Linked DNA regions of Arabidopsis thaliana. The protein of the gene in region 2 interacts with the protein of the main gene of each other region in a pairwise test. Each region holds a gene or a part of one and is shown on either strand. Other genes may lie near its edges.

What was found.
Region 1: the proteins of NAC003 (region 2) and NF-YB13 interact in a two-hybrid assay, tested with the Arabidopsis thaliana proteins (one large-scale study listed by BioGRID).
Region 3: the proteins of NAC003 (region 2) and CIB1 interact in a two-hybrid assay, tested with the Arabidopsis thaliana proteins (one large-scale study listed by BioGRID).

The regions. Positions count from the first base shown.
Region 1 is NC_003076.8:7,745,001-7,752,508, reverse strand, and holds NF-YB13 (nuclear factor Y, subunit B13), read right to left. Parts: upstream 3,480-7,508; 5' UTR 3,232-3,479; intron 3,168-3,231; exon of another isoform or gene 3,127-3,167; 5' UTR 3,119-3,126; coding exon 3,064-3,118; intron 2,910-3,063; coding exon 2,820-2,909; intron 2,734-2,819; coding exon 2,570-2,733; intron 2,477-2,569; coding exon 2,306-2,476; 3' UTR 1,897-2,305; downstream 1-1,896. Other genes in the region: TGH (SWAP (Suppressor-of-White-APricot)/surp domain-containing protein), read left to right, coding at 3,620-3,754, 4,403-4,493, 4,570-4,664, 4,881-4,984, 5,065-5,126, 5,249-5,317, 5,462-5,601, 5,830-5,905 and 4 more.
Region 2 is NC_003070.9:426,391-434,563, forward strand, and holds NAC003 (NAC domain containing protein 3), read right to left. Parts: upstream 4,331-8,173; 5' UTR 4,178-4,330; coding exon 4,024-4,177; intron 3,927-4,023; coding exon 3,679-3,926; intron 3,608-3,678; coding exon 3,461-3,607; intron 3,387-3,460; coding exon 3,072-3,386; intron 2,981-3,071; coding exon 2,858-2,980; intron 2,710-2,857; coding exon 2,512-2,709; 3' UTR 2,260-2,511; downstream 1-2,259. Other genes in the region: AT1G02210 (NAC (No Apical Meristem) domain transcriptional regulator superfamily protein), read right to left, coding at 1,158-1,421.
Region 3 is NC_003075.7:16,495,154-16,502,866, reverse strand, and holds CIB1 (cryptochrome-interacting basic-helix-loop-helix 1), read right to left. Parts: upstream 4,477-7,713; 5' UTR 4,402-4,476; coding exon 4,099-4,401; intron 3,996-4,098; coding exon 3,735-3,995; intron 3,648-3,734; coding exon 3,513-3,647; intron 3,420-3,512; coding exon 3,348-3,419; intron 3,254-3,347; coding exon 3,083-3,253; intron 2,987-3,082; coding exon 2,921-2,986; 3' UTR 2,693-2,920; downstream 1-2,692. Other genes in the region: AT4G34540 (NmrA-like negative transcriptional regulator family protein), read right to left, coding at 935-1,101, 1,190-1,393, 1,498-1,735, 1,914-2,048, 2,185-2,361; KCS18 (3-ketoacyl-CoA synthase 18), read right to left, coding at 7,142-7,713. UniProt on the Arabidopsis thaliana protein: Transcription factor that binds DNA to G box 5'-CACGTG-3' and, to a lower extent, to E-box 5'-CANNTG-3' in vitro. Binds to chromatin DNA of the FT gene and promotes its expression, and thus triggers flowering in response to blue light.

The DNA.
Region 1 (7,508 bases), on a different chromosome or scaffold from region 2:
AGAAAAGCTTGGTGCTGAATTTTGTAAATGTTGATTTTTGTTTATTTTAGTTATATGAATGGTTGATTCAGTTGTATTAATATAAAGTTAAGAGAATAAGTGGAGAGGAGGATTGTGTTTTTGTTGAATACTTTGGGAGAAACACGAGAAATGAGACAAAAGAAAGGAATCTGGGGACAAAGTGTGTGTGTTGTTTCATTTTCTATGTGGGGTAATCTACAAAGACCCTCAATTTTGTTTGACTCAAAAACCCTTTTTTTGACTTCAATCTTTTATACAGTAAAAAAAAAGAGTGGAGTGTTTACCAAAATATAGTACATTTATATCAAATCCTTTCTTCTTTATATCAAATCTTTATTGTACATATTATACAATCTCTAATCATATTAAAGATTCGTAGATGATTTCAAACTTATTTTCAAATCAATGGACAGGGAAAAAAAAAGTAAAGATTAAGTATCAAAAGCAACATAGAATATAAACATTTCTAAATTGAAACAAATGCAAGTGAATTGTTGAACCTCTTGTACTCTCTATTTTTCCATCTCACTTTTTGAATTGTATGCGGTTATTAGTTTTTTTTAACCATGTTAAAGCAAATAGTTCTGAGAACTGTTTTTCTAGTTGTTGGCAGTAAAAGTAAGATTTTTTTTTCCAACTTTTCCTGGTAAAAAACGCAAGACAATAATTTGGCACAAGCGGCTTGACGTCACTATCCTTATATTACTGTAACAACACTTACTAATACGAAACTTAAATCGTGCATGTTAGATAATATAGTAATTAGTACACATATTATCCATACAACCACTACAGGTTTCCAACAATCCGTCATTAAAAAAAGTTAAACATACAACAAGACTCGATATCAATTGGTACATGGATACTTAAGTTTATGCTTTATAGATAGGTTCAAGTAATTGTCTAACACTTATAGTATGGTTTATCATGGAAAGATGAATGTATTCAATTATACAACTATTCATTAATAGTCTCGATTCAGTACGAAATATTCTCAAATAAAGATTGGTGTGACGGGCCATTAAGAGGAATACAACATTCGACAGGCTTTGTCTTTGTATATCAAAGAATAAAATCATACTGTTATAATAATACAAAGGAATGTATAATAATGTTACAAATAAATACGTAAGTTATATAGTTAGGATCAATTGACGTCATAAATAGTAAGATATGAAATAGGTCTGTTCTGATTCTCTTATTAGTTGTCGGGTGCAGAGTAAACAGAAACCTGCGAACTGACACGTCACTCCGGTGATGGTCCTGCTAGTACCTTCCCCTTCTTCGACTCTCCCTCACTCCTCTTACCTTTTTTTTTGGGGTCAAAAGTCATCCTACCTTTTACAGTATATACTTTAATTAATGATGTCATAATTCATCAGTTTATGTACATTTTTAGTAAGAAACTAAAATATTAATGAACCATTTGTCTTTTGCTTTGTAAGGAACTATATATTTAATGAACAAATCAGTTATTTAGTACGAACAGATTAAAATTTGAGACTGGGAAAACTAGAGTCTATTAAATAATTTCATCAGTTTATGTTTTTTCTACTAATGACAAAGACAAAACATACAAACCAAGTCAGTTTTCCGGTTATCAATTAACCGAAGTATTTCTTCTAACTGGTTACCGAAAAGAAATTCAATTTGGTTTGGTTTTGGTTCCTTCTTTATTTTCTAAAATCGGTTCGTAATCATTTGCGAAACCCGATCAAATTTTGGTAAAAAACGGTCTAATAATGGTATAATCCGTTCTTTAAGAAACAAATAACTATCTGAGAAACCAATGTCGAACCGAACCGAAATTCGCAGGTTACTGAAGGCAAATTGAAAGTACGCCAATCGGTTCAGCCTAGAGAACCAAAACCTAGCCGAAAACCAAAAATCTATGTTTGGCTCAGTACAGTATTCTCGGTTCGCGTCAGAATCACAGGGCAAATGTTAACAACACTAAACAATGATTGCATTGTGTTTATGGAAAAACAATTACACCAATCACCAAATTTATCCAATCTACAAACATTAAGATTCCTGTAAGTCATCGAATCAGATGCTTTGTGTAGACCTGACCCACCATGCTTAGTCAAGACACAAGTAAACACAAAACAAGGAATGCTTACTAATTACATCTGAATCACAAGTGTTTTTAGATCGTGAAACACTAACTAACATATATCATACTAAGAGCATATAAACAGAGAACATACGCATTTGCAACTTACAAGGGAATGTTAAAAGGATGTTGTTTTTTCTTGCCTAACACTTACCCTTACGGTTTCAGTTAGCTTTGCGGACTTCTCTGGTCAGTTTCTGGATGTTCAGGTTGAGGAACCGAAACACCTCCATTCATTCTTGCACGTGCTTCTGCAAACATACGTTGTTGCTCAGCTGCTGCTTCCTCCTCAGTCATTTGAGCTCCAGGGTTCCATTTCACGCTCCTCTGTGTGTCCTGCTATAGAGTCACAAATGTAGGAAACGGTTAACATTAATCGTTTTTTCGTCTCCTCGTTATCAAGAGTAGGAGAAGAAAGTAGAGAATCATTACCATTGTTTCATACTTATGTTGCTCATACGCAGCATAGACTTCTTCAATGTATTCTCCAAAACCAAGAACCTGTAATGCCTTGAGAACATGCTCAGGAGCAATCGTCCGTTTATCCTCTTTGTTACAAACATCATTAGATTCTGAAGATACAAGATTTATAAACTCTGCAAAAAATGTTTTAAACCACAGTAAGAAAACCAAGAACTCTCACATATATAGATGAACTCAGAGAGAAACTATATGATCTTACCTACACAACATTCAATGAGAAGATCTTGAGCATCTCTTGCAACACGAACATCTGGTGGTAACATCTCCTTTATAATTTTAGTCATCGTAGCTAAAACAATAGAGAACAACAAAACATATTCTTAGCAAGATAATAAAAAAATGAAGTTTATGATGCTCATGAATCCTATAACCTTCAAGCAGAGTTATATATAGCTAGGTTTACAAATCCTCCTATTTAATGATCAATGAGCAATAACACTAACCTTTTGGAAGAGAAGCGTCTTCCTTGGATTTGCCGACTATATCCATTGGATCCATAGTTTAATCTACAGAATTCATCAGGTTAAAGGTGCTTGTACACGAAGATCTGCATAAAGAGCAAATCAAGGGGAGATCGGAAAAAAACGAGAAGATAGAGATAATCGACTCACCGTAACTGAGTCAACACGAACCAAATCGGAAAGTAGACGAGTCGCGGTGAGATCTGGCGCCGGGAAATCGATCGGATTGTACGGAATATAATCGGAGGGATTTTCTCTCTCCTTCGTCTTCTCTAGCAGAGTCGTTTAGGGCAAACGGAAGAAGCAAAGCGCGTGAATCACACTTTCTTTTACAACGCTTAGAGACGGCGCGTGAAGATAACTTTAACTTCCTTATAGCAATTGGATTTTAAAACAAAACTAATGGGCCGAAAAGAGACCCGAACCAGGCCCAGATATCTCCTCCATAATTCTCTGATTCTGCTTCTTCTTCTTCTCTCTGGGACTCGTTCAGAATCTCGAATTGCTGCTGCTCCTCTCGGTCTCGGTGGTGAAGACAATGGGGTCAGACGAGGAAGATTTCGTGTTTCATGGAACGCCAATAGAGCGCGAAGAAGAAATCGCAAGCCGGAAGAAGAAAGCAGTCGCTGGGGCTTCTGGCAATCTTAGAACTCTCCCTGCTTGGAAGCAAGAGGTGAGTTTTTCTTTGATCTTCTAGTTCGTCTATTTAGTTGCAGATGATTAGATAATTTGAGCTTCGAGAGACTCGCTTTGGCCATGAACATGGGAGTTTTTTCGTTGTGCTTGTTTTCGTGATTCTAACGTATTGTAGAGAGCTTAATAGGTTTTATGTCGAGTAAGGTAAGGGATAACTTTGAGGCATTCCCGTTTCAGCTTAATCAGCTTGAAAATTTGTGAGTATCCCGGAATGAAATTAACCTTAAGCAAGAAAATCGAAGTGAATGTCTCTACTGGAGCTGATTTAATACTCAAAATCATGCTAGACAGTTAGATTCTGAGTTTTTGTTATTTGCTGTGTTTGTTTTTGCTTATTAATGTATCTATGGATAGTTATTAGATTGATTATCTGCATTTAGGTGTTTGCCTTGTAGGCATTTTGAAATATGTATTTATGTATGTGGCATCTTCCTTGGTCTCTAATTGCAAACTAATTGAAGCAATCTGTGATGAAAATTTGTGTCCTTACTAATGGATGCATGATATTGCAAGAATTCGTTGTCCAGCTTTCCACTATGAGTTTTTACTGGAAATAAAGTCTATCTGTATATAGTTGTACTATTATGTGGAAAGTTGCTAACATCTCGAGTTTTACCATACTCAGGTGACTGATGAAGAAGGCCGTAGAAGGTTCCATGGAGCATTTACTGGTGGATATTCTGCTGGGTATTACAATACAGTTGGATCAAAAGAGGGTAAAGTTTACATTACCTGATTTTCAAAGGCTTTTTTATCTGTGCTATGCTGTTTACAATCTAAATCGTACTTCAGGCTGGGCTCCACAGTCATTTACATCATCAAGGCAGAACAGAGCTGGAGCGAGAAAGCAAAGTATTTCAGACTTTCTAGATGAAGATGAAAAGGCGGTATGTTTCATCTTTTTCTCCTTGTTAGATCTGTTAAAGCTTTATTTCGAGTTATTTTAAGCTTGTCAAAGTTTGATTACCGCATATTGCATGATTCTTCTGTTACTTTTATCAATGGTAAAATGGAGTGTGGATTTGGGAATTATATTTTGCTCTGTGGAAGATGTGCACCATATTTAACGATGTTACACCATTCTAAATCCTTTTCCATTTTAGGATATGGAGGGCAAATCACTGTCTGCGAGCTCACAATTTGACACATTTGGGTTTACGGCAGCCGAACATTCCCGCAAGCATGCTGAGAAAGAACAGCATGAGAGGTCTGTGTACTTATCTGTAGTCTGTTTTTTATAAGAAGTTGCTATCTATATATTTGTAACATATTGTTTCTGTATCACAGGCCATCAGCCATTCCTGGCCCTGTTCCTGACGAACTTGTTGCTCCAGTTTCAGAGTCAATTGGTTAGTTTCAATAAGCCTCTTTAATATTTTGCAAAAGTTCCTTTTCTTTCGTTTTCTTTATTTTCGAATGCATCAAGTGGAGAAATCCTGATCTCACATTTATGCTTCTTTATATTTTTCAGGGGTCAAACTTTTGCTAAAGATGGGATGGCGGCGTGGTCATTCAATAAAGGAAGTGCGTGCCAGTTCAGGTTTGAACTTGTTTAACATGCACTAATCCATAATCTTCTTTTGTGCACCAAGAAAAGCCGTCAATACTTTTTCTATTTTGGAAATTCACAGCAAGCTCTTTATTTCGTCTCTCTCTCTCTCTCTTTTATACCTTGTTGGTGCAGATGCTCGTAGAGAAGCTAGAAAAGCATTCTTAGCCTTCTATACTGATGAGAATACAAAGGAAACGCCCGACTCGCTTGTTTCTGAGACTGAAGTGGAAACTTCTCTGGGTGAAGATATTAAAATTTCTGAAAGCACTCCTGTGAGTCAATTTTCCTGTTTCTCTTTTCAAACGAGCTATATGTTGTTGATTGTAATCGCTACTGGTGTGATACTTCTATTAGTCATACTTTTCTTGAACTTCTCTTCTACTTTTTATTAACGTCGGACTGTGAATACTGCTTCTAATCTGCTGCTGAGCTTCTTCAGATATTACCCTTAGTTACATTGATTTTGATGATATCCTTTGTTCCCCCTTTATCGATTGCAGGTATATGTTCTGAATCCAAAGCAAGATCTGCATGGATTAGGATATGATCCTTTTAAGCATGCTCCTGAATTTAGAGGTACCTAGTTTGGACTTTTTATGATGTTTCTGCTGACAGGGCATTCTTGGTCATTGACTTGCTTCACATTATTCTGATCTGTAGAAAAGAAAAGATCTCGCATGTCTGCCAATAAGGAGGTTGGTTTCAGAAAACCTTTATCAATGAAGGAAAGTCTTTTTGGACCCAAATGTAAGATTTTGACTCACCATTTTTTCTTTTCTTTCTTGTTAATTTTCTCTTCTTTGCTTAAAGATACTTACATGCATCTATAGCGTATCTCTATGCCAGCTTTTACTTGGCATTCTTGTTGCGTGAAAACTACTTATGGGTTTTGTTAGTTACTAACATGAGTTGAACAATCAGCAGGAAAGATTGCTCCGGGTTTTGGCATTGGAGCACTTGAGGAACTTGATGTTGAGGATGAAGATGTCTATGCTGGTAAGGACAGAAGTGCAATTTCACTAATCATGGTTTCTTTGTTCATATATGCATAAGTGTCTGTTCAGGTTGAACTATTATTTATTCTAAAGATTACAAACCATTGTCCCACAGTCGTTAATTTAAAGCTCCTGTATGTTGTAAAAGTAATTTGCTTTTGTAAAAGAATAATATTGGTTATAGGTGTAAATACTTTCTTGACAATTTGAAGTGCTAGTTTTGGATTTATCAACCTCCTGTTTCTCAGAATATGCTGCAATACCAAAGTGTTTTTCTTTTCTTTCAGGTTACGATTTTGATCAGACTTATGTCATAGAAGACGAACAGCCAGCAAGACAGAGCAATGACAATAGACTGAGGTTAACCTCAAAAGAGCATGACGTTCTGCCAGGTTTTGGAGCTGCTAAGAATTCTGACTACAGTATGGAGAGGTAATGTTTCAATGATTCACAAACATGAGGACATTGTTAAATCAATGTCATCACACAATTGCATGTCTAATAGAGCTCTTACTCTCAGAATTTTCTGATTATGGCTACTTACATTCAGATAGTCTAATTCATATCATTGTGTGTTTTGTATATTATATCAGATTTAATCCTCCGATAATCCCGAAGGATTTTGTGGCCCGGCATAAATTTTCTGGTCCTCTTGAGGCTGAAACTAAGCCAACTGTTTCTGCTCCTCCGGAAGTTCCTCCTCCTGCAGATAATAATCTGAAACTTCTGATCGAGGGGTTTGCAACTTTTGTTTCCCGTTGCGGGAAACTATACGAGGATCTTTCTAGAGAGAAGAACCAATCAAATCAGCTGTTTGATTTTCTTCGGGAAGGTAACGGTCATGACTACTACGCAAGAAGGCTGTGGGAGGAGCAGCAAAAGCGTAAAGATCAAAGTAAGCTGACATTAGATGTTAAGGTGTCTCCAACCGTACAGAAAATGACTGCAGAAACACGTGGCAGCTTATTAGGGGAAAAGCCATTGCAGAGAAGTTTGAAAGAAACCGATACTTCTGCTTCTTCTGGAGGCTCCTTCCAGTTCCCGACCAATCTCTCTGACACATTCACCAAATCAGCTTCATCTGTAAGTAAACAACTTCACACCTTACAAGACTTTAGCTTGATTACACTTGATAGATGAGTTTCAAGTGATATGCCTTTGTTTTCCTTGCACTGACATTCTTG
Region 2 (8,173 bases):
CGGTCTCCTTCTCGGAGAAAATGGCCACGCGGACGGACGATACACCACAGAAAAGTCCAACGTGAGTTAACTCTAAAGAAAACATTTTATTTGCCAAATATAACGAATAATTATTTATTATTTTCAGAAAATATTATTATAGTTGTGATTCTCTGTTTCGCAAGAGTTGGGAGTAGGGAATGTGAAGTAGTAGTGGTGGCCCAAGTTATGTTTCCAAACGCCAGTAACGACCAAATCTAGGCATGTAGATTTCATTGGGTCACGTGGATGCATCAAATTTAACGCGCCGCATTTACTTTTCAACGAATGGCACAGTTTCAACTACCTCGAGAAAAATCCAAAACCAAAAAAGCTATTTGGAATCTTTAAAATCTTTTTACAAATTTCTTCTATTATAGTATTGCTTTGTTGTACTATATTTCACGACCTTTCATGAATATTTTAAATATAAATAGAAGTGGTAGGCGCATATCTTTTTATATTCAAAAGATTCATATCCAATGACACAACTAATCAATGTTCAACCGACCTTAGTAGCCAAGTTCCGTTATGGTCAATACGAGAGGTTGAAGAGTGATTAAGCTCAATTATACCAGATTTACCACAACGACTAATATCCTTCCTTATCTTCACTTTTGAACTCTACTTTGCAGACAATATATGCTCTCTGTCGTCAAAGCCCATAAGATATCTCACTAAAACGTTCAAACTCACTCTACGTATAAGATCATATACCACACGTAGACAAAAATTGAACCTACTCAGGCTGATCTTTGTTTCAAGTTTTATTTTTAACAAATTTATAAAGAAAATATACGACATGTATCTTAGTAACCATTGTGTAGAGATATATCAGATTGTGATTTGAAGAGGTGGTCCTGATGTTTGAAACACAACACTCTCAGCTTTAGGCAATAGTTTAACTAAGATGGATGGTAATTTTTACAAATAACATGCACGTACGATTTGTTTAACTATTTCTCGACAACCTAAACCAAATAGGATATAATATATGATCGTGTTAATTAAGTAAGATAATATATATATATATATATATATATATATATATATATGTACCAAATAACCTAAAATTTGATTGTTTTAGGGCTAATCGGCAGATTCTCTCATAACATCGTTGAGAAAAAAGGACACGGTGATTAAACATCATAAATTCGGAATATTACCTGATTAGGAGGCAAAAACGTTGGTTGATACACGTGCATTACCCAATCGGATTTGGATCCATTGATGTTTTCATACGATTGGAAAACCAAAACTTGTTTCTCACCAATTTTAACACCATTACTAGTTATCCACTTGCCAATGATTGGTGTGTTGGATACAGTTTCTTTCCAATAACCCGAATTCGTTTTCAATATTTCTTCGTTATATTCATCACAACTAAAGAAGAACCATACCATAGTATCAGCCCACTCGCTCTTTGATTTGGCTATAATAATTATTAAAAAAAAAAACCTAAATCAGAAATCAGCCTATAATCAATGATTGAATCAGAAAATCATGATCTAGCATTAATTGACCAAAACTTTCATGGCACATGCCAAGGATCGTAACTAGAGATTTTAACGGTGGTAATGAAATGATGATATTGCCTTCCTTGATGCCGAGATGTTTTAGCAGGAGGTAATATTCGATGATAACGTCATCTGTCGGCCGGAATCTGAAATCCGCCGGATATTTCATTCTTATCGAATAAACCCATAAAGTTAAAAACAATAGAGAGCGATGAAAAATGCAAAATAGGGTTTACAATTTTTATATGTAGGTAATTTAGAAAAACAAAATTCTTTTTTTTTGGGCAACATAAAAAAATTCCTTAATTCTGAAGAAGATATAACGAATAAGGTACGTAATTTGATGTATAATAAACGAAAGCAAAGTCTTTGAACGCCGAAACAGAGGAATTAACAAGAAACAGAATGAAAGTGATGTAGAAGAAAAAGAAAGATTACTAAAATTACATGATATAGGATAATGTAAACAAATAAACAATAGTCTAATGGGTTTTGGATTTAGCCATCAACATGACAACATGCACGTGTACATATATGATGTAGACTTGAAAGTCCAAAAAAAGACTCTTGACATTACTGAAATGAAGCATCTTAATTTGAAATTTATTCTTGTTTTCTTTCGTTGAATGGAATTTGTTTATGGGGTTAGGTAGGACTAGAATAGTACTTCGAGGTTGATTGATACTTGATAGGGTACGTCAAATAAAATTTGAGCATTTGGTTAGCTGTATGAGCAGAAATTATACAACTTTGTCTTCACAATGGAGCATACATACAAGATGAGAAAGTAACAAAACAAGATAGACATTATTATGTCAATGGATACAAATTTGTCTTCACAAATTTACCAGTTTTATACATATCACACATACAGTATGGTAAAGTTACAAACCAAGATAGACATCATAGCATACACTTGTACTGTTGTAAATAATTTGGAAAGTAGAAAAGGTGTTATTGATCACTTTTATTGTTATCAAGTTCTTGAGATGGAAGAACATAGGTGAATTTTCTTGACGAATTTTTGTATCATCCTGTGAAAGAAACCAGCTCTTTTCTTCTTGATCGTCTCTTGACCCAATTTATGCTCACCAATCTCAGTCCCTTGTGCATCATCATAAGGATTCTTCTTCTTCTCGGCGGTATCAATACTGGTTATTAGAGCTTGGCTCACCTTGAATCATAACAAAGAAACAAAGTCGTTGTAATGAGTGTTGGCACAAAGTAGCATCATTGATTGTTTGTGTTGTTAGTAGTGATGGCACAAAGTAGCATTAAGGATTGTTTGCCTCAGTGAAAGATAGAGAGATAAGAAAGCTCACCTCTTGAGTTAGTGACACTAAGTTGATTGTTGAGGTAGGAGATTCTTGCAGGTCTTTGATCTGGTCTATGCGATGATTTGAGCTACCAAAACTATCACAAGTGCTCGAAGTTTGAATAGAGTTCTGTCAAATGAATGAAACAAAAACTTGAGCTTTGTAAGGTGAAATACGAAAACAGAGGATTATAAAGGTACAAAAGTAGAAATTTGCTTACTGTTTTTGGAGTTAGCAAATCAGAATCATTATCATCACTGCTAACATCATCACTGAAGACACCAGTTAATGAGTTTGGAGGTCTGTAATCACTTCGATTATCATGCATAAACATGATACTCTTCTCCTTAGCATCATCAATATCATTCAACCATGTTTCCCATTCCTCAATCGGTATAGCATCCTCGATTTGAGCATCATCCTCATCATTCATCAGCCATTTTACCAATTCCTCGGTCAGTTTAGCATCCTCGATTGGAGCTTCTTGCAGCACATCACCAAACTGACTTGGATCTTCTCTGTGAAGTGAGGATCCCTGAAAAAGGGGGAGAACGCAAAAGAAGTCGTTGTCAGATTTAAAACAGAAAAGAAGTTTTGAGATGAACCCACCTCAGAATTGTTGACAAGCTGAGGGATTAAAGAGTCACGACGACTCTGCTCAATTCCACTAACACCAGAAGAAGAAGGAGAAGAGGAAGACTTCTCTCTCATGCCACCATTAAACATAACTTTACAGAGTGTGTATGTCATCATCATCTGCAAAAATTCGATAAAAAAACTCAGAATCGCAGCAATAGTAAGTAACACAAAAAAAAAACAGAGAGTACCTGGTTATGAGAGAAACCGTGGTACTCGTGTATAACCCAATCGGATTTGGATTCCTTACTCGTGTAAAACATCAAAATCTTTTTCTCACCGATCTGTTGGCGATTACGCATGATAGGCTTTGGTCTGCCAGTACTCTTCCAAAACCCAGATTTCGTTTTTCTCATCTGCTGATCACCTCTGCCATATTTGTTCTCCTTAGGTCTGAAGAAACACCAAGCCACATCTTTCAGTTTGATCCTTGACTGGCCTACCATACCAAAACGAGAAAACGCTAAAATCAGAAAGTAGCGGATGATTCGATTGAACAGTGAGAAGGACGACACTCGGTGATATGAATGACTTACAAGGTAACTCCCAAGGATCGAGTCTACAGACAGGGACTGTGTTAATGAATCGATCGACATGGCTCGTGTCTCTATCGGAATTTTTCGGCCAAAGGTAATCGACGACGATCTCCTCGTCGGTCGGACAGAATCTTAAACCCACAGGAGTTTCCATTTCTCTGCAGCGATCAAAAAAGAAGGGAAAAGGAAAAGATCAAAAAAATATGCATTGGAGAGCTTTCGCCATGGTTGATGTTCTTCTGCAACTTAAAATGATGGAGAAGAAAGACGTATAGGGTTTTGTATTTATGCGGAAATTCTCAAATTCAAAAAAATAAAAAAAATAATACAACAATAAAAGAGTAAAAATATTAAATAGTCATGACGGTATACTTGTCGAATTCGATTACGCTAAGACAGGACATTCAAAGGGTTAAGTTTCGGAATGGTAAATACGTGGTGCGTTTGTTTATCACTTGTCTTATAAATTTTGTAATTATTTTTTCCATACGACCATACCAATCTTCAATCCATGAAATTGAAAATATTCCCCATAAATTCTCTTACATTGTGTGACTTGTTAAAAAAATATCAATCAGAAAAGGAGGGTGGAAAAAGAGGATTTGCAAGCTGCAAGTTTGCATAAATTTAATCAGATAGTGACATATCTTTTCATCATGGGACGGTAGTTTCGCCCAACACGTAACGACGAAATTACATTTCTTTCTTGAACTTGTTTGATGTTTCTCTTTATTATATTTTGTTGGCCCATTTGGAAATTATATAATGATTAACGTTGCCCACAAAAAAAATAAATATAATGATTAACGTTAACGTCGATCGTCCGTTATCTATGTAGAAACAGAAACATAGATACGATGACAAAAAGTATCTCTATATGCTATTATGCTAATAGGTAGAGCTGTCAATTAGACAGGCGGCTCATGAACTTGCCCAGTCCAAATGCATATGGACGAACTATATTCTGGACCATAAAACAAATGGTCCAATTGGGCATATAACCAGTTTTGTCCACGAATAATATGAGTTTGACCATATGGACAATGGGCTGCCCATGGGCATGAATTGAGGGAAAAATACAATTTCTCCGATTTTACGATTTTGACGGAAAAACGTAATTCTGCAAATTTCCTCTAAAACGCGATTTTATTATTTTGGCGAGAACACAATTTTACAGTTTCGACGGGAAAACGCAATTCTCCGATTTTACGGTTTTGGCGGGAAAACGCAATTTTTCTACCAAAATCGTGATTTTATTATATTGGCGAAAAACACAATTTTACAGTTTTGGTGAGAAAACACAATTCTACGTTTTGGCGAGAAAAAACAATTTTACGATTCTACCGTTTTGGCGAAAAAAAACAATTTCATAATTTTTCCGCCAAAATCGTGATTTTATTGTATTGGTAAGAAAAACACAATTTTACCGTTTTGTCGGAAAAATGCAAAATGCAAAAACATAATTCTTTAAAATCATGATTTTTGATTTATCAATAATAAAATGGGCTATACATGGGCTTGCCCATATGGACATGGTCTTTATTGGGCATGGACATTTTTCGGACCATTGTCCATTATGGACCGTCCAACTTGACCCATAAAAAGAATTGTCCCTACGGACACGCCCAATGGTCCCTGGACGGATCATTTGACAGTTATACTAATAGGAAGCTTCGTAGAAGCCGTAAGCCGAAATAATCTAAAGCCCTTTTAAGATTTGGGGATAAATATTTATATATAAGGCTAGACATGGGGAAAAAAAATTAAATATTTATAGACATGCATGCTATATACCAGATTACCAGGTCCAGAAATAATCTAAAGAGAGCATACAAAGTGAATATTAAATTGCAAAAATGGGGGAAAATAAAAACAAGAATAGACATGCATGCTATATACGCATATGCAGAGTGAGCGATCACTTGATGAGAATTTTTTGTAAAACGATTATCGCAATTTGAGCATCTTTATTGATGAAATACTTATAGAAAGTTTCTCAAATAAAATACTACTAATATATTTATTTATTTTTTGTTTTGAGAGTTTTACATATATAGGGTTCTCATATATAGATTCTCAATTATGAACCTTTTGTACTAAAAACTCTACTATTCTAGAAACTTACCTTTTTTTTAAAAAAAATGTGTGAATACTATGGATGGAAATGTCTTTAGTTGCTATGAAAACTAATTTGTGTTATTTATACGGTTATACCTAACGTTTCTAGTTATCACAAAAATTAATGGTGTATTAATGTATTTAATAAAGTAAGTTAAGTTGTTGCACAGAAAAGAAAGTGTAAGTTGGGTAAATTGTGTGAGCCAAAAAAGATTGTAAATTGTGAGTTTGTGACGCTGAAGAGTGAAGACAATTCAAAAGGTTATATCTTATATGCGACGGCGTAGGTCAGTTTTGGAATGGTAAACACGCGGCAAGTTTGGTTATCATCATTTGTCACAATCATATATATTTACTCATATAACATACATACATTGCTTTATCGTCATCTTTGGTTCATGAATAAGAAAAATGTTCTCCCACAAAATATCTTTACCCTTTGGTTTATATTTTAGTTTTTTTTTTTTTTTTTTTTTTGTCAACCGATATAAATTAAACCTCAAAAGAGCCAATCCCGAGGGATATTGTTTACATACGTGACATGATGCGGTACGGTACGAATCTTTCGTGCCAACTTATCCGCTTTTACATTTGCACTACGAGAAATTAAAGATAAAGAGAAATTTGTGAATTCTTCCCTATCACTTTGCAACTCCTCCAAATACACTGAAAACGCCGGCCATTCGGTTGGAGAAGACACCATCTTCACCAAGTCTGAACAGTCTGTAAAGAAAGCTACGTTCTGATTATCTGCTCCAATCATGCACTTCATCGCCCAAAGAAGAGCTTCCATTTCGGTATGTAGAGGAGATAGACTTCTACGAACGTTGGCGGCTCCCATGGTTGGCGACTCTCCAAGAGATGATAGACAGAACCATCCTGTTCCTGAGAACTGGTCACTTGCTTTCCAAGATCCATCAATAAAACACCGAAAGCCAGAAAAAGTTGTATCTTGTGATACATCCCTCACCCGAATTCGACTATCTATAGACAAGGAACCATGTTTTTCACTATGGAGCTCGACTTGAGCTTCCTGCCACGATTGAGCCTCTTTTACCGATAAGAGCAATATTTCCATTGGATCTTTATCCACATTTTCAAAAACTTTTTCATTTCTTGCTTTCCATATATACCAAATTATCCATGGGTAAGAAGCCGAATCGACGCCTGAAGGAATTCTCCAAAACAAATGATCCAAATTCGTAAAAATTGAATTCGAAGGAAAAATCCTTGGGGCCGTAGGAATTTGTGATAGTGCCCAAATCTGCCTTGCAGGATGGCATAGAAAAGGTTTATATTTTAGTTTTAATATAAAAAAGAGGGGAAAAGAGTATTTGCAAGTTGCAAGTTTTTAAAATATACATTAATCAAAAGACTGACATATAATTATTGCACTTATCATGTGACAGTTACGCTGTTAATCCCACATTTTTTTTTCTATTTTTGCTCTGTTAAATTCGATAGTTCATTATTTATGTCGAAGCAAACGATGTAAAAATGTAAACCACATATAATGATTTTGTATATAGGAAACTTCGTAGGAGGCGTAGATAAAAGAACTAGACAGCTCCAACCAAATACTCCTCCTCCTACTTAGTAATTTTTTTTGCTAAATACAGCTTATTAGTTCGTTATAAGAGTTACCAAGGAGTAGTAAAGCTAAAGTATTAGCAAGTTGCAATTTAGGATTTTCATTAATTAATTGAACAGTGAAGTAGTGGTGGGCCAGGACATGTTACCAAACACCAACAACGACCAAATCTAAAATATGTGAGCTAATTGGGCCACGTGGAAGCATTTTAATTACACGCGCCGTGCATACTTTTCAACCAAGGCACAGTTTCAACTTTCAACTAAGGCCATAATATTTTCTGGCCATAAAATATTCTTTCAGATTTAGAGAAAATGTTTTTTTTTTTGTTTTTTTTTTAAATTTTAGAGAAATGTTTGGTAACAGTTTGCTGAAATGATTTTGATTTGGATTGGTTGTATTTAGCCAAAGAATCTTGTTCATTATTTGTTAATAAAATAA
Region 3 (7,713 bases), on a different chromosome or scaffold from region 2:
AAGAATCCAGGCAAACAACAAAGAGTAATCACAAAAACTCAGTGCATAGAAAGATTAAGAAAATGCTTGAAACTGAAGGGAGATTAGAGAGAAATATTACAGTGTCAGTGGCCGATTAAGTGGAGGAACAAAACGAAATTCGAAGACGAGGTTCGGTTTTTTTCTGCAAGCAAAAATATCTTGCGTTTGAAGGTTGAAGAAAACGAAAACAGAGACTTAAACTGGTGATTTGTTTTTGAAAAATAAAAAAAAAGAATAAAGAAGAGGCAGAGGAATAAAGGTTAGTCTTGTCGGAATATACAGAACCAGGATCACTCGATTCTCTGAAGTCTTAACCTCGTATTTTGGTTACGCTCTCAGAATCACATTCTTTTTATATAACTATTTCTTTTAAATACGCATTTGACGTGTTCCGTTGTGTGCCATAGTTGCTTCCTTTCGCGCTGTGTCTATTTGCTACCTTAAGTAAAATATCGGAAATATCTTTCATCTACTTTTGTTCTTCTGTTGTTCAAGTAAATGATTAAGCTTGCTTCTAATTAAGTTCCAACTAGTTGGATTTGACTCCAACTCTATTGGAAGTTTATTCTCAATAACCTCTCGTAAATCAAATTCTTAAATCCTTAAAAACAATTTTATTCTTGTTGTGATCTTTAGTGTGTGATTTTCTTGTGGTGAATTACTATATTTCAAGACATCAAGGCATGAACCTAATACCTATGATCTTGTTACCATGTAAACAGTTGAGGTTTACCATCATCAGAACTGCAGAAGTAATGTGTTACACGATTAAGGTCGAAACTCAGATCAATAGGGTAAAGATAGTGCTACATGAGATAGATTGATTCAGCCCTCAAAAACAGAGAAATTTTGGAAGTGTAAAAGGTAAACTCTGAAAAATGAGAGTGATCCCTTTGCTGTTTGGTTTATAATTCTAGAGAAGAGTATCAAGAAACTCGCTCACGGTCATGTATTTGACATCAGGGTAAAGCTCAGTACCATTCACTCCACCACAAGACTCGATGTCGAAGTATGTGTGATCTCCTTTGATAAAGACAGAGTATATGAATACCATCTCCATGTTATCCGGATATGGAGTTTCTGCATCATAGAAACACAAAGCTCAAGTTTAAAAAAACAGTTTTGCAAATATGTTAGTAGATGTGCTGATGATGTTATGATGATGAACCTTTGATCTTCTTGAGAAGTTGATTCTCTGTAGCAAACGTTTTCTCAAGCTTCTTCTCAATCTTGCCCTCCCAGAGCTCGACAAGATCATTCATGGAACATATGTTTCCGGGCGGGCTAAGGTACAAGGTCTTATTCAGTGTTCGAGGATCATCTATCGTCTTGATAGTAAATGCTGCAACATCGACATCATTCACGAAAACAGCTATACACAAAACAACACAGAAAAAAGAAACACTCAAATTTCAGACCACAAGATTGTATATTTGCAAAAACTTGTAGCTATAGAATTGAGCAATAAGGACAAACCTTTAACGTTTCCATCTCCAAAAACTGTGACTTTATCTGTTGGAGGAGATTGAAGCCCCGGTTGCACAAGCGATGGAAGTAGAACTCTCATGAACAGTCCGCAGCAAATGTATGTATATGGAATCCCCTCTGATTCTATCATATGCCTAATCTCTGATTTCTTCGAATAGAAGTCATGATCAAGATCCGAGACTTGAGTTTTATCAGGATTTGCTCCATATTCAGCAGGAATAAACCTCTGCAACAGTAATTAATCCATGTTCTGCTCTAGTTAGATATCTATCCTCTCAATCTCATCATCAGCCAAAAGTAAATTCAAGAACAATATTAAACAATACTACAATGTGATCTATACTTAAGACATGATCGAATTGGTGTAACAAAAAAAAATCCATGATTAAGATATAAGAAGAGACCTTGATGGAACCAGCTTGTTTGATAACTCTGACGAGGAGTTTCTGATCAAGAACATGTTTTGATGGAATTGCAGAGATCACCACATCTACTTTACTCACTGCTTCTGCTAAGCTTCCTTCATCCTCCAATGAACCCTAGAACCCATCAAAAACCAAATCCAAATGAAAACAAGCAAAAAAAGCCAAGACTTTTTCAAAGAGAAGTCCCCCAATAAGAATCTACAGAAGAACCCTAATGAGGAAATTACAGAGATATTGCAAAGAGAGAGACTTTGAGGAGGGTAACGCCGGCGTCGGAGAGAGATTTCAGCTTATCGGAGAGAGTGGTGTTTCTGATGAGAGCGAAAGTCGGGTGACCCGATTCGATGCTGAAACGGGTCAAATAGTTCCCTAATCTTCCTGTTGCTCCGATGATCAAAACTCTGCTCTTCTTCTTCTCCTCCTCCATTTATATATACTCTCCGTATAGAGAATTAGGATAGTTTAGTTCCAATGGGTTGGTCATAGGTTTTAATCTCTGACTCAGTTCTCTTACATTGTCGTCGTTTTGTCCGCCACGCTTAACAGGTGTTGTTTATTCAATTGCTTTAAATTTGGGATTAGTCCCGCTTTTTCAAAGTAACCAAAACATAGATTAGAAGATTGTTAGTGATAAGATGTAAAACATAACGTTAAACGACTGGTGTCTTGTTTCTTGATTTCATGGTCGCATGACTTGTGGCATTGTATACTAAAAAAAAAAATACTAATGGATGATCATTCACCACAAGAAGATGAGAACACACCTTGAATTAAAGACACAAGTCCACCGATAAGAAATATATTACTGGACTGGTTTGCAAATTATACACAATAATGTCTACACTCTTTGATACATCAACTAATGGGCGGGGGATCTCAAGTCAATAATCTAGTGGAATTAGTAAATAACAGCTACTGGTTTGCTCTCTCTTCCGATGAATAATTTGAATTAGGGAACATTGTTATGTTGTGGATTGGTTTCTTAATCAAACTCCTAAATTGCCATAGAGATTCTGCACATGAGAGTCCCACATCGAAGGAGCTTCGCCATTCTGTAACAATCAAAACATATTTAGTAAAAAATTATCATATCCAAAGTTAAACTAAAGGATAGATCATAATGAAAGAGTATTAAAAATATGACTTACGTTGAAGCATGACAATGGATCAGAACTGGTATTCACTTGCTGCATTGGATTGACATGAAGGTAACCGGAGTTAACCATCTCACTAGAATAACCAGAGTGAACCATCTCATGAGAATAACCGGAAAGAACCATTTCAGGAGATGGCACCACAGTCATTGGAGTTGAGGCAACCTGGTTTTGAATCCACATGGCGTATTTTAGCTCATCTATAAATAGCCTTTAAAGTTTTGTTTTTCATATAAGCATAAACAAATCAATGACTAACCTCTTTGGCAAAAATGTCATCCATATCAAAATCCGGCCTTGGATTCACAATTGCTAGTTTCATCGATAAGAACTGTTTTAAACAATATTTTGATAACAAATTAGGAAGGTAATGCAAAATTAGTCTTTAAAACATATTTTCTATAAATGGAAATAATTTTCAGACCTCGATTTGTCTCTGAAGAGACTGAACATAGTTAATGATTTCATCAAGCATCCCTGCTTTGCCTGTGATCTTGTCGCATCCAGGAACCAAATCTTGTAGAAACTTCATTCTCTCACTGATCTTTTCTCTTCTAACCTTCACAAATTTAATACTTTAATAATTAGTCTCAATGATTACACAAAAAACAAAGTTAATGAATTTTAGTTAATGAGGCTCTCTTACTCGTTCTGCTATGCTGTGACTATCAGTGGCTTGGCCTCGTCGTGCACGAACATGAATATAATCCGTTTTCTCCAATTCCTTCGTCACTTTAGATGAATCATTAGAGAAATTGTTCTCTTCTTTCTTGGCTTTGTGTTTCATCTTCTTGATGCTTTTTGTGCTCCCATTGTTTTGCTCTGTTATTTTCGACTTCTCTTCTTCTCCTTCTTCTACTAGGTCATCTCTGTTCATCGTCATCTTCTTCTTCTTCTCATTACAATCCTAAAAGCACACACAGAAGAAACAGATAAGCCAAATCTCAAAGTAAGATCTGTTTTCTTTTTCATTTATAGAACTTAAACTTAAGTTTTCTTTACACACGAACCTTAGTCTCTGTATCAAACTTCCGTTTCTTGAAATTTCCAGTCCCAAGCGTCGTTTCCGGCGAAATTGAGAGTCTTGAATCACCTTCCACCGTCGTCTCACCGTACATCATCGGAAGATTCAAACCGGCAGTCGAAAGATAGCTGTCCATCTCGCCGCCGGTAATCATTGAAGAATCGGCAAAGAAGCCGGCGAGAGGAGAATCAAAGGTGGGATTGAGGTACTTGAGGTGAGCCCTTTGGCGCTCTAGGACCGACATGTCAGGAAAATTGAGCAAAAGGTCACCTCCTATAGCTCCATTCATCGTTATCGTCTTCTTTGGATTCAGAAAACAAGTTGCTTGCAACGAGAGAGAGAGAGAGTGGAGAAAGAAACAGAGTAAAGGTGAGGGTAGAAGAGGAAACGATATTTATAACAAAAACCATCAGCTCTGTACTTAGTCCATATTCATCGCATCTAATAAGGTAGGCCCATATACAAATCTGGAAACTTTATATGTTTTGTGATAATTGATATTTGCGATGATTGAAAATTGAGAAAATAACTAAAAATAGTGAGTGACACAGAAAACTTATAAAACATTTATTACGTAATATATGCATGTATTATAGTGTAAATTGGATCTTGATTCACTAAGAAAGGATAAGCTTGGGATGTCTATGCGAATTGGAGCGTCTCTTCTTTAGGTTTCTTTCATTATAGGAGCACGTGAATGGTCACGTGGGAATGGTCTAGTTGTAACACAATGAAAAATAATTTTGTAGTTTACAAGCTAGTTATGATTATATGAATCAGATTGGTGTGTGCGCTAGATATTTCACCTAATTAAAATGGGGTTACAAAGAAAACACTTTACCTCATTTCAATAGCTCTGGTCTTAGTTTAGCTACGAAGCACTGTTCACATGAATTTATTACATCCTTCGGAATCTTGTTATTCAGATCGATCATCATCATGTGTCTGATCGCCATGCTGTATACATTGGCTTACTCTATCGTGATAGGCTAATACTGAGACGGCGCAAGAGAGGCTGCCACGTGATCGCCATGCTCTTTTTCGATGCAGAAGGCCCATCACATGAATTACTCACAAGTTAGTTTTAGTCTTAGATCACTTTCACCGATTTCGGTGAGCAAATATTTCGAAGAAAAGGACCTTCCATTAAAGTATATATGACATTGTTTTAGATTCTCAAATATTTTCATTTATCCGACTTTTTATGTTATTGGAAAACGCTTTATGTGATTGATATAGGGACATGAAATCTTCTCGATTCTATAATGAAAACCCAACTCTCTTTTATTTTGCTTAGTCCAGTTATATATTAACCTTTAAAGCAGATACATGGAGTTAGTAGATAAGGAAAGGGGAGGGTGTAAAGTTGTTAGAAACAAAGACATGGTCGTTGCCTTTTGATGTGATGAATTTGGACTAAGTCCATAGAAGATGATGATCAGCTATTTCCCTCCCTATCATACTATACATGCATACACTAAAAAAAGTAAAGCCACACACCTAATTTGTGGGTTCCCCATCACCTTGTACATATATGTTCATAAATTCATGTCGACATGTATGTAGATGTTGACATTTGATTCGGTGTGTTGTATTGGAGATAGTTATATTATTTATACAAAAGTATTTAAATACATCTATCCAATTTCTTTCCTTAAACTGGAGAATTGATCTGTGCACGTATATTTATCTATGTTTAATTAAGTGTTGTTACTAACTTACTAAAAGATATCTATATCAATTTGTATATGGGAGAGTTCTTAATTAGAATTAGAAATTGCTGTAAAAAAAATTAGAATTAGAAACATATCATCGACGTAGAAATTTCTGATGGAACAATAATGAGGGGAGATCCAATGGTCATGACTCATGAATCATGATCACATGATGGGAGCCTAATTCCTATATGATGGGTTATTCTCGATATATGCATGGGAATTAGACGTATAAATAAGAGGACTTTTTTTTTTTTTTTTTTTTTGGGTTTTAAAATAAAGAAGAGTTGTGAATTTTATAAACTTTCATATAACTTGCATGTATTTTAAAGGTATACAACTTTCCTAAGAAGTCTTTTTCGTCAAAAGAAGAATTGTTTTTTTTTCTTAACATCCAAGAAGTATTTATATTTTTTATGGTTACTAGTTATTGTTATAAAAATGATTTAATGATAAATGAGTTATTGTTATATAAATGAAAAATGTATAAAAATTGTCTCTGACCCGTTGCTCCATAGTTAGTTTTTTCATTCTTTTGTATTCTACGGTTAGTTACTATAATTTCCTTAAAATAAAAGATTTCATGTTGTAAAAAGTAAGAAAAACGCATCTTTTGAAATAAACAGATATATAAGGTGAGTTTTAGCCAAAAAAAAGAATGAAAATATGAGTGTCTTTTTTTGGCTGATGTAGGCTCATCGGGGACTGCTCCAACTCTCTGACACTTATCATTTTTAATTATTCAACTATCAATTGAATTTTATGGGCTTCCCTACTTTCAAATCTAAACAATTCAAAATCATACATAAACTAAAGTATCCATTTTTATATTTAAATCTAAACAACCAGGAATATAACTTTCTTCACATAACCTAGACGGCAGACAGAGCTGGTCAGCTGGATGAACAAACAATCACAAAGAGTTGATTTTAGTTCTAAGTTAGGTAATTAAACAGTCCCACAACATAAGCTATTATTTATTATTTAGTGAGCTAATTAAGACAAAACGCATAAATCGATATGCTTACAAAATTTTTGTTTTACAAATCCTTAATTAGAGAATAGGAGTGAATGTTTATAAACTTTCATTTCTTTAAATATTTTATGAAAACTAAAAATATACTGTATTTTAAAGATGATTTTGTAAAAGAAATCATGTAAACCTAAATAGAAACGCTTAAAATCGCGTTTGAAACTATAGAAGAATTGAACTTCTTTATTTATAACGAAAAAGAGAGAACATAGTAAACATCTAATCATAACCAATAAAAGAAAGGAAAGACAAAGTAAACGTTGGCACTCAGATACATCAAATTAGGACCGACCGTTTTGGACATGAGTCTTTGACTTTGACAAATCAGAATCAATTTTAACCGGATATCTATCGATGCAATGTTGCCAAGGACTATTTGCCGATGCCTTGACATTGCGTAGAGCCACCCAAACCGCACTATTACACTTAAACCCTGATCCTAAAGCAATCTGCCAAGCTTTATTCCCTTTCTTCATTCTTCCCTTTGCCTCTATGTATGCTAATTCATACCAAATTGAGCTAGATGAAGTATTCCCAAATCTATGTAACGTTGATCTAGATGCCTCCACATCGATCGGCGATAGTCCTAAGTTCTTCTCTAGCTCATCGATCACGGCTCTGCCTCCGGCATGAATACAGAAATGGTCAACAGCAAGCTTGAAATCCGGAACATAGTAATGCTTGATTTTATCCTTTAGAAGTTTCTTGGCGACGAAGGTAGCGAAAAAAAGAAACTTTTCGCTTAAAGGAAGAATCAACGGACCCAATGTTGCTATATTTTTCGTAAGTGTTGTCCCCGCAACATTGGTTATGTCCTTTGACAGACAAACTCCGATTTTGCCGCTCTCATCGT